Linked DNA regions of Danio rerio. The protein of the gene in region 3 interacts with the protein of the main gene of each other region in a pairwise test. Links are inferred from orthologs where the notes say so. Each region holds a gene or a part of one and is shown on either strand. Other genes may lie near its edges.

What was found.
Region 1: the proteins of ntaq1 (region 3) and edaradd interact in binary tests that used the Homo sapiens proteins (3 or more experiments, as listed by UniProt). The two-hybrid records come from large-scale screens. The link is inferred for Danio rerio from reciprocal best matches to the Homo sapiens genes NTAQ1 and EDARADD.
Region 2: the proteins of ntaq1 (region 3) and mif interact in binary tests that used the Homo sapiens proteins (3 or more experiments, as listed by UniProt). The two-hybrid records come from large-scale screens. The link is inferred for Danio rerio from reciprocal best matches to the Homo sapiens genes NTAQ1 and MIF.

What each region holds. Positions count from the first base shown.
Region 1 is NC_133192.1:23,889,695-23,893,653, reverse strand, and holds the start of edaradd (ectodysplasin-A receptor-associated adapter protein), read right to left. Parts: upstream 2,801-3,959; 5' UTR 2,539-2,800; coding exon 2,481-2,538; intron 1-2,480. UniProt on the Homo sapiens protein: Adapter protein that interacts with EDAR DEATH domain and couples the receptor to EDA signaling pathway during morphogenesis of ectodermal organs. Mediates the activation of NF-kappa-B.
Region 2 is NC_133189.1:53,749,592-53,753,564, forward strand, and holds the start of mif (macrophage migration inhibitory factor), read left to right. Parts: upstream 1-1,173; 5' UTR 1,174-1,286; coding exon 1,287-1,394; intron 1,395-2,268; coding exon 2,269-2,441; intron 2,442-3,973.
Region 3 is NC_133194.1:37,454,580-37,458,716, reverse strand, and holds ntaq1 (protein N-terminal glutamine amidohydrolase), read right to left. Parts: upstream 2,801-4,137; coding exon 2,721-2,800; intron 2,641-2,720; coding exon 2,541-2,640; intron 1,368-2,540; coding exon 1,317-1,367; intron 1,237-1,316; coding exon 1,088-1,236; intron 663-1,087; coding exon 538-662; intron 452-537; coding exon 348-451; 3' UTR 332-347; downstream 1-331. UniProt on the Homo sapiens protein: Mediates the side-chain deamidation of N-terminal glutamine residues to glutamate, an important step in N-end rule pathway of protein degradation.

The sequences.
Region 1 (3,959 bases), on a different chromosome or scaffold from region 3:
ACAAAGAGAATGCTGATGTCCAATTTAAAAATTGTGACTGTTCCATGATGCCCAATCAATGCAGAGTTAGAATTAGCACTGCAGAAGTTTGTTTGACAACAGAAAACTAATCCTACACTGTACAGCAACTGTCAGTGGAACATGTGACTCAAACAGTGGAAATAATTCATCATCAGCATTAGCATGTAGAGCTAATATTCTTATTAGGCCAATTACTATAACACTTAAAATCAACTCTATCTGTCACAGATCAAGGCTTTTTAATAAATGAGTACATTATGATTAAACAGAGAGAGAGTTTTTATGGTCTATATATATATATATATATATATATATATATATATATATATATATATATATATATATATATATATATATATACACACACACACATATATATATATATATATACATACACATACATACATACATACATACATACATAGATACATAAATAGATACATAGATAGATAGATAGATAGATAGATAGATAGATAGATAGATAGATAGATAGATAGATAGATAGATAGATAGATAGATAGATAGATGTGTGTGTTTTTAATCTAATGAAGACTGCAAAGTCAATGATTCATTTGAATTATTCAGCCTGACATGTTTATTCTTCCAAAATATTTTAAATATTACTCAACATAAAATATGTGTTCAATGGGGAAAAGTTTTTGTTTTTTACCCAGACATTTAAAAAGAATATATTTTAAAGCAATTATCACACCGTGAAATTTTTATCCAAGGTTATTAAAACATCAGAATCTTATATACTAGCCCATGCCAACTAATAAAACTCCAATAAATTGAAAAGCAGTTTTTTATATATATATATATATATATATATATATATATATATATATATATATATATATATAATAAAAATGATTTACTGGTTCTAAAACCCTTAATTTATAGAATCGTTATGTTCCACAAAAAGCTTAATATTATATTTATATAAAATATTCCACAGCAGGCTTTATAGCAATTAAAAATCCTTCAGAGTACTAAACAGTGTTTAAACTAAGAAAAAAAACAGTTCTAAACATTCTAAGAAAATAACAAATTGTTGCTTTTACAGCACTGCAAATTAACAACAACAAAACAAAACAAAAAAACCTTCTGCTGAGTCTTTCGCAAAGTGCAGTCAAAAGGCAACCTCAGACACCAGTTTCCTGAGGTTTCCAGAAGGGGAAAAACTGATATAGGTCTGGTTATAACCCCAGATTCACCCACACCAGACAGCTTATCCTCAGCTCTTACAAAAAATGTTTGCATGTGTGAGTTATTGACCACCATCACTATTTTACAAAAACACAGGCACAATTCTGAAGAATTATGAGGTTATTTTTAGTTTCTTAAAACAGTCCTTGTCAAATCAAAAGGAGTATGAAATGCAGGGTATTTTCTAGGAAATCCCAACAACTGAAACAGGATGTTGAAGAGCACTCATTCCACTGCAGTTATGGTGACTGCTGAGAGTATGAGCAGCAACACGAGCGGAAAGAGTATGCAACACCTTTAGCTGATGTTATCTGACTGTGGAAATTTATTTTCACTTCTTCTGCCCCACTCCATAAACATAAATATAATCAATAGTAACAAAATAAACAATGTCATTTGTTGTAGATTGATATCTGTTCCATATCTTTTACTCAATCATAATTCAGCATGTTCACAGCAGTACAGTAGAGAGATGGACAGATCAATCTACACGTGCCCAGTAAGTACTGCAGACGAATCCAAACCTGTGCAGCCTGAATCCATTCATGACTGTTTCTGCTAAGCCAGGGAATGCAGAGAGCATGTAGCTGCATGCTCGGGATGCACTTGAAGAGATAAAATGTAAACCACATCATAATATAACCCTGCAGGGCAAAACCCTCTGCGCAGATCTTCTTCTGCATGGCCACCCATAAACTAACAGAAGCAATACACAAGTACTGCAGGAGAAACCTGGTCACCTCTACAAATGAACAAATACAAATGACCTCTACAAATGAAACACCACGTTTTAGTAACTTGATGAAGAGAAATAAAATAGAAACAGATGTAAAAGCAGCATCCATGAACAAATGAAGGTCAAACCAAACAACTGCAAACTTATATATATATATATATATATATATATATATATATATATATATATATATATATATATATATATATATATATATATATATAAAACATGCATACTTATACATACATACATATTTACACACACTTTATATTCTTCTGCGTACAGATTTAGGCTACATAACGATGGATCTTATGTGCTTGTAAAGACCTTATCGTTCTTTCAAATGTAATTTTAACCTGTTGACACGCTTCCCCTTCCCCGTGTACCCCTTAAAGACACTAAAACAAAGTAACAAAGAACACTGAGCCAGGACAAAACAAGTGTCCGACATTTGCCACGCGTGTGAAGCACATTTTCCCTCATGACTTAGTAAACACCAAGCGTATTTACTTACCAAACGGCTCGGTGAACGCCTTCAAGCTCGTCATGTTCATAACGATTGTTTCACACATAGGAGAAGATCGTTGATCACCTTTACGAGACTGCTGGATGGATGGAGGTGAAGTTGTGAACCGCACCGTTGTTTACAGCACCTCACCTGTGCGCGTGCTAGTCTGGAAGAAGTCTGACCTTACACGAGAACCTTCAAACTACCTGACAACTTTCTCACGCACTTTTCTGTCTTTGCGGTTAATTTGATGTGGGAACACAGAGCTCAACTATATCTCTCCCACACTAAAGGAAATTACGTAGATCATTTACGCCATAGATAACGCCATATTTCCTCACCCCTGCCTCTTTTACACGCGCGGAACGCCCAGTTGTCATCTGAAAATCACGATTGAGTGGAGCACGCATATCATTTATTTATAGTTACCTATAGCTGAACCCTTTAAATGCCTGCTATAACAAATGGTTGACCATTTTTTGACTGTTTTAAAAATGACTGTTAAAGTCATTTTAAAAATGACTTTTTATTAATGGTTTACACACAGAGTTGTACAAACAAATCAAACAAACTCAATCCTGTTGCACTACTACACTTGATTTTGATTTTACTGTTAAAAACATGTTAATTGTGAATCTGAAATATTTTATGGCATACTTGATAAAGATGATTTAGTATTCAGAATGCTTTATTTTTTATATATTTTAAAAATAAATTGGTCTTACACTTCATATTTTCAGATTTTTCAGAGTACATTTATTAATTCCGGTACTTTTACCATAAACCGACATATCAAACCCATCCAGTGTCATCCAGTTTTTTTTCTTTTTTTGGGGGGCAGTTAAAGCGTGTGTGTGTGTGTGTGTGTACATATATAGCCCCCCCCCCCCCCCCCCCCCCCCCCCAACACACACACACACGCACACACACACACACACACACACATATACAGTGGCTGCATTTACACTGCATATCTTGATGGCCAATTCCGATTTTGTGACTGTATCCGATTTTTTTGATGACCTGCTTACATCATATTTAAAAGTAACTCATATCCGATCGTCTGCATATACACACTGAGCACACAACAAAGGCGCAATGACCAGGAAAAAAAAGCGGGCGCTGACTATAGCTGATAATTAAAGATTGCTCTTTTCTCTATCCTGTATGTAATCTCTTTGCAGCTTTTGACAGTCTGTTTTACTATAGTTTATGACAGAAATGTTCTCATTTGTCCATCTTCTTTTTACATATAGGCTTTTTAAACTTTTAGGTATGCTTACACGTACATGGGCCATATCCGATCTGTGCCACATGAGAGAAACAAAATGGAATTGAGTCACTTGAATAGTGCAGTGTAAGTGCGGGCAGAGCGAATGTTTTGGAGTGGCCATCTCAAAGCCCTGATCTCAATTCTATAGAACAGGGGTTTTCAAACTGGGGGCCGCCAGATGGCGCTAGGGGGGCCGCAAAAAAAAATTAGAT
Region 2 (3,973 bases), on a different chromosome or scaffold from region 3:
TTTACAGACAATAAATAACCGTTAATAAAACTTAATACTTAATTAATAAATAAAAAAACTGCAATTTTAGCCATTTATTTGTTTGTTATAGATGTTTACTGACGTTTATTTATGGTTATCTATGTCAAAGATGACAGTTTCCACATCTCGTGCTGCCCTGAGTGTACAGTCTGGGATACAGCTTCAGATACTCGCGTAAATATAGCATTTCATGAGTGTGAATGAGTGTGTATGGGTGTTTCCCAGTACTGGGTTGCAGCTGGACGGGCATCAGCTGTGTAAAACATGCTGGATACGTTGGTGGGTTTCTTTCTTCTGTTAAACACAAAATAACATCGCTGAACTCCTGTTTAACCATTGTGTTTCATAGTATTTTTTCTCTACTATCGAAGTCAATGGTTTAAATTTTCTCTTCTAAATAACTTATTTTAAGTAAGGTTTAGGCTGAACTGCGCCTTTAATAAAATAATAATCAAATCAAATGTAAATACAATTAAAAGAAATTATAAAAATATTAGAACTAAAAGAAACAATTAATAAAATAACACAGTTCATTCATAATTTTTTACAGTTAATAAATAAAAAAAAGTAATTTTTGTCATTTATTTAATTGTTTTAGTTGTTTACTGGCGTTTATTTATGGTTATTTATGTCAAAGAGGACATAGTGCTGCCCTGAGGGTACAGTCTTGGATACAGCTGCAGATACTCACATTAATACAGCATATCATGAGTGTGTATGGGTGTTTCCCAGTACTGGGTTGCAGCTGGAAGGGCATCCGCTGTGTGAAACATATGCTGGATAAGTTTGCGGTTCATTCCACTGTGGCCACCCCTGATGAAAAAAGGGACAAAGCCGAAGGAAAAGGGTAGATGTTGAAAAAGTAATAATGGGTAATTTAATAATAAACAATATGAAAAATACTCGATATAGCCTAACTGATTTTACATTACTGTGATGGTTGGGTTTATGGTTAAGGTATAGACGTTAGTAAAATACAATTAATGGGTAATTTAATAAATAATATAAATAAATAATCCTCTTTAACTTGCGTTCGCAGCTGTATCTCCTCTAGCAGCAACCGCTGCTGAGGCTGCATCAAATCTGCATCCTTATTTGGGTCACGCGGGGTTTTACGGTAGTCTACAAGAAGCACACTAGCTTCGCGTTATAATACCCGCCTCCTTCAACCTAGAGCCTCACATCTGGAGTCATTCCTGCAGGAGTTTGATCCTTCTGACTTGCACTTTTTTTGTAAAGTAGTTTTGTTCATCTCTGTCGCAGTCATGCCGATGTTTGTAGTGAACACAAATGTTGCTAAAGACTCGGTTCCGGCGGAGCTGCTGTCGGAGGCCACGCAGGAGCTCGCCAAAGCCATGGGCAAACCCCAGCAGGTTAGTTACCTACTTTATTTTACTTATTGCCGTATTTTATCGTATGACTTTGCATATTAGTTTAGATGGGATAGAAAACTGTAAGCACTGTTACGAGTTTCAAAACATACACGCTAGCGCAAGTTATCCTCTTAGCTGCAGCTTGAGGTCGACTCGGATTTTCGTTCTTAATTAAATTTAATCTTAAATTAAATATAGACAGATTATGCGTAATAATTAGTCTTGATTTAAGATGCTCAAGTGATTAGAAGGCAAACTAATTTCCGTGAATCAGTTCGATTAACCGAAAGAACCAGTTCAAAAAACGATTCATTGATTCTTTTACGTCATGACGCATTTGCGTTATCTCATTACACAGCACCACGTGCTTGTGTATTTCACTGATTTACTAGAACGTCATGTTGAACTTACTAATTATTCATTCATTTTCATTCAACTTAGTCCCCTTATTCATCAGCCACAGTGGAATGAACCACTTCCACCACCACACCATATCCAGCTTATGTTTTACACAGCGAATCCCCTTCCAGCTGCAACCCAGTACTGGGAAAGACCTATACACACTAATTCACACACACACATGCATTACGGCCAATTAAAATTTTTCAATTTACCTTTGGCACATGTGTTTTACTGTGGAGGAAACCGGAGCACCCAGAGGAAACCCATGCAAACACGGGGAGAACATGCAAACTCCTCACACAAATGCCAACTGGCCCAGTCGGTACTCGAACCAGCGACCTTCTTGCTGTGATGCCACAGTGCTAACTACTGAGCCACTGTGCTGCCTAACATCTAAAATTGTGTTATTTTAATTGCACTGTATTATAAAGTACTGAGCTGTAGTGTTTCTCTGTGTTTGTCTGTGTGACAGTACATCGCCGTACAGGTTGTGCCGGATCAGATGATGATGTTCGGGGGAAAAGGAGACCCGTGTGCGCTCTGCTCGCTCACCAGCATCGGGAAGATCAGCGGCGCGCAGAATAAACAATACTCCAAACTCCTCATGGGTTTACTCAACAAACACCTCGGCGTTTCTGCTGACAGGTACATTCACACTGATGGCCATTTTATTATGCACACATTTTAGCGTACAGTTGTGCGTACAGTTGCAGAATTATTAGCATTATTATAATTATTATTATTTTTTTTATAAAAAAATGTCCCCAATTTCTGTTTAATGGAGAGATTTTTTTTTTACAACACATTTCTAAACAAAACAGTTTTAATATCTCATTTCTTATAGCTTATTTATTTTATCTTTGCCATGATGACAGTAAGATACTAGTATTCAGCTTAAAGTGACATTTAGGGCCCTATCATACACCCGGCGCAGTGTGGCGCAAGGCGTGGCGCATTAGTCTTTTGGTAGTTTCAGCTTGGCGCAAGAGTCGTTTTGAGGCGTTGCGCTACGCTGTTTAAATAGCAAATGCATTAGCGCTCATTTGTGCGCTCATAGGCGTTCTGGTCTAAAAAGGAGGCGTTCTGAGTCGGACCGCTGGCGCGTTGCTATTTTGAGAATCTATAATAGATTTTTCATTAGACTAAAACTAACCCGGTCTAAACTCCGGCGCAGAGTTGCGCCTCGCTTACACACTGCTTAATAGCCTACACACAAGAGAGCAATAGGCAAATATTTTTACATGTGAAAAAATGTAAATATTAAGGATATATATAGGATATAATAATAATAGATATAGGATATAAATATAAAGGATTAAAATATTACAAAACATATTATTTTCTAGCCTACATAAATATGAAAAATCACTGCTTTTATGCCTTCTTCATCTCCGGAGGCTTTTTCAGTTCATTCATAACAATTTGCTTCTGTATAATGTTATTATTATTACCAGTATTATTTATTATATCCATATTTATATTTGTTTTATTATATGGGGCACAGCATGTGTTTTAGGATATAACTCAGGTTTTTGAGCACATTTTGCTATTATTGTTCATTTATTCGTTTGCTGGAAATTAGAACTGAATTTAGAAACAGTTTTGAAACAAATCTTTGCGCTTAACAAACAAAATTATTTATTTATAGACTAATTGATGTCTGTGCGTAAAGGTTTCCCTATTCAAGAGCGAATGTGAAAGTAGATCCATTATCTCTCATTCTCACGCAGTAGATGCTCTGTTTAACAGTTTTCTGTTAATAAACTGTTAACTGTGAACTGTTTGCTTGTGAAATGATCATTTTTTCCACTTAGACTTACTTTGCGTCCTGTAAATAGCGAATGCGCTCTTGGCGCGACGCAGCTGGCTCTTAAAGGGAATGGGAGATGAGACTCTGATTGGTTTATTCTCAAAACACACCTATAACTCATTAAGAAAATAAACTCAACCCTTTTAGACCATGCGCCGCGGGGCAGGGCAGATTTCCCGTCCTTAAATTAGCAAAAACGCGTCCTGACATGCCCTGAAAGCATTTGCGCCCTGCGTTTTGCGCTCTGCGCATGGACCGTCAAAATAGAGCCCTTAAAGACTTAACTGGGTTAATCAGGCAGGTTAGAGTAATTAGGCAAGTCATTGTATAACAGTGGTTTGTTCTGTAGACTATTAAATAAAATATT
Region 3 (4,137 bases):
CTACAGCACTACAACTGCTTACACAGTTTCGCATTTCGGTTTGGTTGTTTGTTTAAATTCTGCATTTTTATTATCTGTACATCTGTGTAACTGATTTCTTTATAAAAATAATACACATCCTCGACAAATGACAACAATGGCTTTCTTTTCTGTGACCTTTCTACCTGACTATAATTAAGCCACATTGCCAACTGTTCAATTAGTAAAAATAATTTCAGAGTCAATAAATGTGTCTTTTGAGGCCTGCTTAGTTGCAGCATTCTCCATCATAATAGGATCTTTCCCTGAGGCTCTGTTTATGTACATTTTTCAACAACAACAACAAAAAATGTGCTGGAAAAAAAGCATTACTTTACTCCAAAGTGTTTAACAAAGTCTGAAAGGCTGTAAACCTCTCCATATCCCACTCGGGGATCCATGCAGATGAAGTCATCAAGATTCATTTTGGATTCTGAAAAGGACACGTTATACATGAAAGTGGAAGAAGAAATCAAATTATAGTATTTACTGTATATAAATCTGCAATAGAAAACAAACCTGGTGTCTCTAAACATGGATATGCTGGAGGTGGCATACGCCAATTCCCATCGGAGTCCTTCATATGAGACCGATCAGAAGCAAACTCCTTCAAATAAGTGTCCCCGGGTATGACTCGAAGTTTCCTAAAAGAGCAAACAACACTTTGATTACATTCAACTAAGACTGGCTATTATTATTATAAGGGTCAAAGACATAAAGGAGTTTAAGCATTTGTTAAAAAATATATATATAAAAATAATATTATTTAATGCAAAAGTAAATTAATTGACTATTGTCCATCACCACAATTTACATAAGATGACCTCTAAAATGTAGTTAAGTGTAACAGTAGTTTAAAATACTAAGTTATATTTAAAACAAGAATAATGTGAGGCCATACTAAATGGATAACAATGCAGCCTCAAAATACTAATTCATATTAAAATCTTCATTCAATTTTGTCCTCACATTTTATGATGTGCTTTTCTTTTATAAATTTATTAAGTACTTGTTACACTTATGTTATTTCATCTTTTGTAGAATGCAGATTAGACCAGATAATACTTGCCTCCAGTAAGCAGGTTTCAAATGCTTGTCAGACTGAAAGGCCTCCATTGAATAAACGTCAAGCGAACAAGGAAATGGAAGAATGGTGTCTAAATCGTAAATGAAGCTCGGTCCTTGTTTACTTGCGTGTAGAAGAATAACATGGTAATCCTAAATGGAAAACAACATTTTTATATCAATTAGAGACTACCATAAAATATGCATAGTTTTTATACATATAAAGTTCCTACCCAAATTACTGGTTCATCCCCTCGACTGGACTTTTGTTTCCAAATAGGTATCTGAAATATTACACAATTTTTAACACACATACATACTATATATACACTCATTGGCCCCTTTTGTTTGGCACACCTTACTAGTACCGGGTTGGACCCTCTTTTGTCTTTAGAACTGCCTTAATCCTTTGTGGCATAGATTCAACAAGGTACTGGAAATATTCCTCAAGAGATTTTGGTTCATATTCACATGATAGCATTACACAGTTGCTGTGGATTTGTTGGCTGCACATCCGTGATGCGATTCTCTCATTCCACCACATCCCAAAGGTGCTCTACTGAATTGAGAGCCGGTGACTGTGGAAGTCATTTGATTACAGAACTTCATGTCATGTTTTACAAACCAGTCTGAGATGATTTGCGTTTTATGACATGGTGCGTTATCCTGCTGGAAGTAGCCATCAGAAGATGGGTACACTGGTCATAAAGGCATGGACATGGCCAGCAACAATACTCAGGTAGGCTGTGGCGTTGACACAATGCTTAATTGGTACTAATGGGCCCAATGTGTGCCAAGAAAATACCCCCCATGCCATTACACTACCACCACCTGAACCGTTGATACAAGGCAGGATGGATTCATGCTTTCATGTTGCTGACGCTAAATTCTTACCCTACCATCCGAATGTTGCAGCAGAAATTGAGACTTATCAGACCAGACAACGCTTTTCCAATCTTCTATTGTTCAATTTTGGTGAGCCAGTGTGAAATGTAGCCTCAGTTTCCTGGTCTTTGCTGACAAGAGTGGCACCCATGTGGTCTTCTGCTGCTGTAGCCCATCTCCTCAAGGTTCGAGGTTCAAAGTTACTGGAATCACCTTTCTTTCCCATTCTTATGCTTGGTTTGAACTGCAGCTGATCGTCTTGACCATGTCTACATGCCTAAATGCATTGAGTTGCTGCCATGTGATTGGCTTATTTTTGCGTTGAGCAGCAGTTGGAAAGCTGTACCTAATAAAGTGACCGGTGACTGTATACGTGTGTGTGTGTGTGTGTGTGTGTGTATATATGTATATATATATATATATATATATATATATATACATATATATATATATATATATATATATATGTATGTGTGTGTGTGTGTGTGTGTGTGTGTGTGTGTATGTATGTATATAACAGAAAACTGTACATTTCATTAAATGTAAAATACTTGTGTGGAGATGAAGCTCACCTTCTTTCTTTCATTAGATATAAATACTGCATACACCTCTTCCAAAGGACAATGTCTCTGATTCTTGATATATTCACACAATTTCCACACATTCTCCTCACTGCAACAAACATTTAAATACGTGTATGAATACGGTACGTTTTAAATTTGAAATAATGTTACAGGTATTATCGCATTTACCAGTAACAGCTGGTGTAAACACATTGGTTTCCGGACGGGGTGATCACTTTATATTCAGACGAAGCGCTTTCTTCATTCATTCTTTCCTTCCTTATATACGTGTATATACAGTAGGTTTACGCGGACTTCCAGTTATAACGACATGACAAAAGAATACATGTGTATAATGATACCATAGATATTTACATTAATATTACAATGAAGCGATTCGCGTTGCAACCGCACTGTTGCTTGTTACAATGTATCTTGTCCGTAAGGAACTTCAGGGGATTTGTCGTTCCGGCGAGACAGGTGATGCGCGAACATTCACTCCTTATGTGAATTGCAAATGTAGCACTTGCACGATTATCAGCATAAATATTAAACAGTCTAACTTTCATAAAGCATAAGTAGAAAACACGTTAGCGAAAGATAACGTGCAGTTAGGCATCGTTCTCAACTCAATACAATTAGCCAATGTATTGGTTTCTAATTTCAGAGTATCTGATTGTATTTTGTTGCACGTTAATTCGTTTTTTGCCACATACTTGTATAAATGTTTGTGGATATCTATAAATTTTTTTTGTGAACTATATTTTGTTTTAAACTGAAAATGTGTTTCTGTTTCTAATGCATGTTTATCTCAAACCCTTTCATTTCTCTATACATGTTCACTCATTATAGAGTCCTGACAATATGTTTCAAACTATCAGTCCATTCAAATTGTCTACCAAAACCACAGTATGAGTTAATATTAAGGAGGTTAGCACATAGTCTAAATGAATAACTATGTAGTCTTGTCAAAAGTTGTCTTGGTTCACACTTGCTTTGGTCATAAAAAGCCACAAAATGTTCTAAATATATATGCGTACAAGATGTCTTTTGTAAAATAAGGTAAATATTTTTTTGGATTAAATATATCACATTCTGAGAGATGTATTTATTTACTTGTACAACTGTTTTATTACACTTTTTATTGTTTTCATAGGCTAAATCCCCATTTCTGAGCCACAAATAAACAGCTCTTTACACTTTTACCGTTTAAGAATCCACTATTTGCTAACGTGTTTGTTTAAAATGAAATTTGATAACATTCAAATACTTATGATGTTATAAAGTAAGCTAAACCAACAAATATTAACCATATTCTTTTAACAAGATGTATAGGGCCACCTATGTTTTGAGGTGTAGCCATCAGAAAAAGCCCACCATTAACACCTCGTTTTTAGGAATGTCTTTTACTAATGATCTCATTAGCACTTGTGGACCCACTGATTTGAGAGCTGGTGAACTGGAAAAACCACGAATAAAATAGTTGAAATTGCACTTTATTTTTGTTACTTTTTAATAAAATGATCTTTCTTTCTATTTGACTGTAATGCTTTGTGTACTTAACATAGTGTAAACATAGACACTTTTCTTATGCAAAAAAATAATA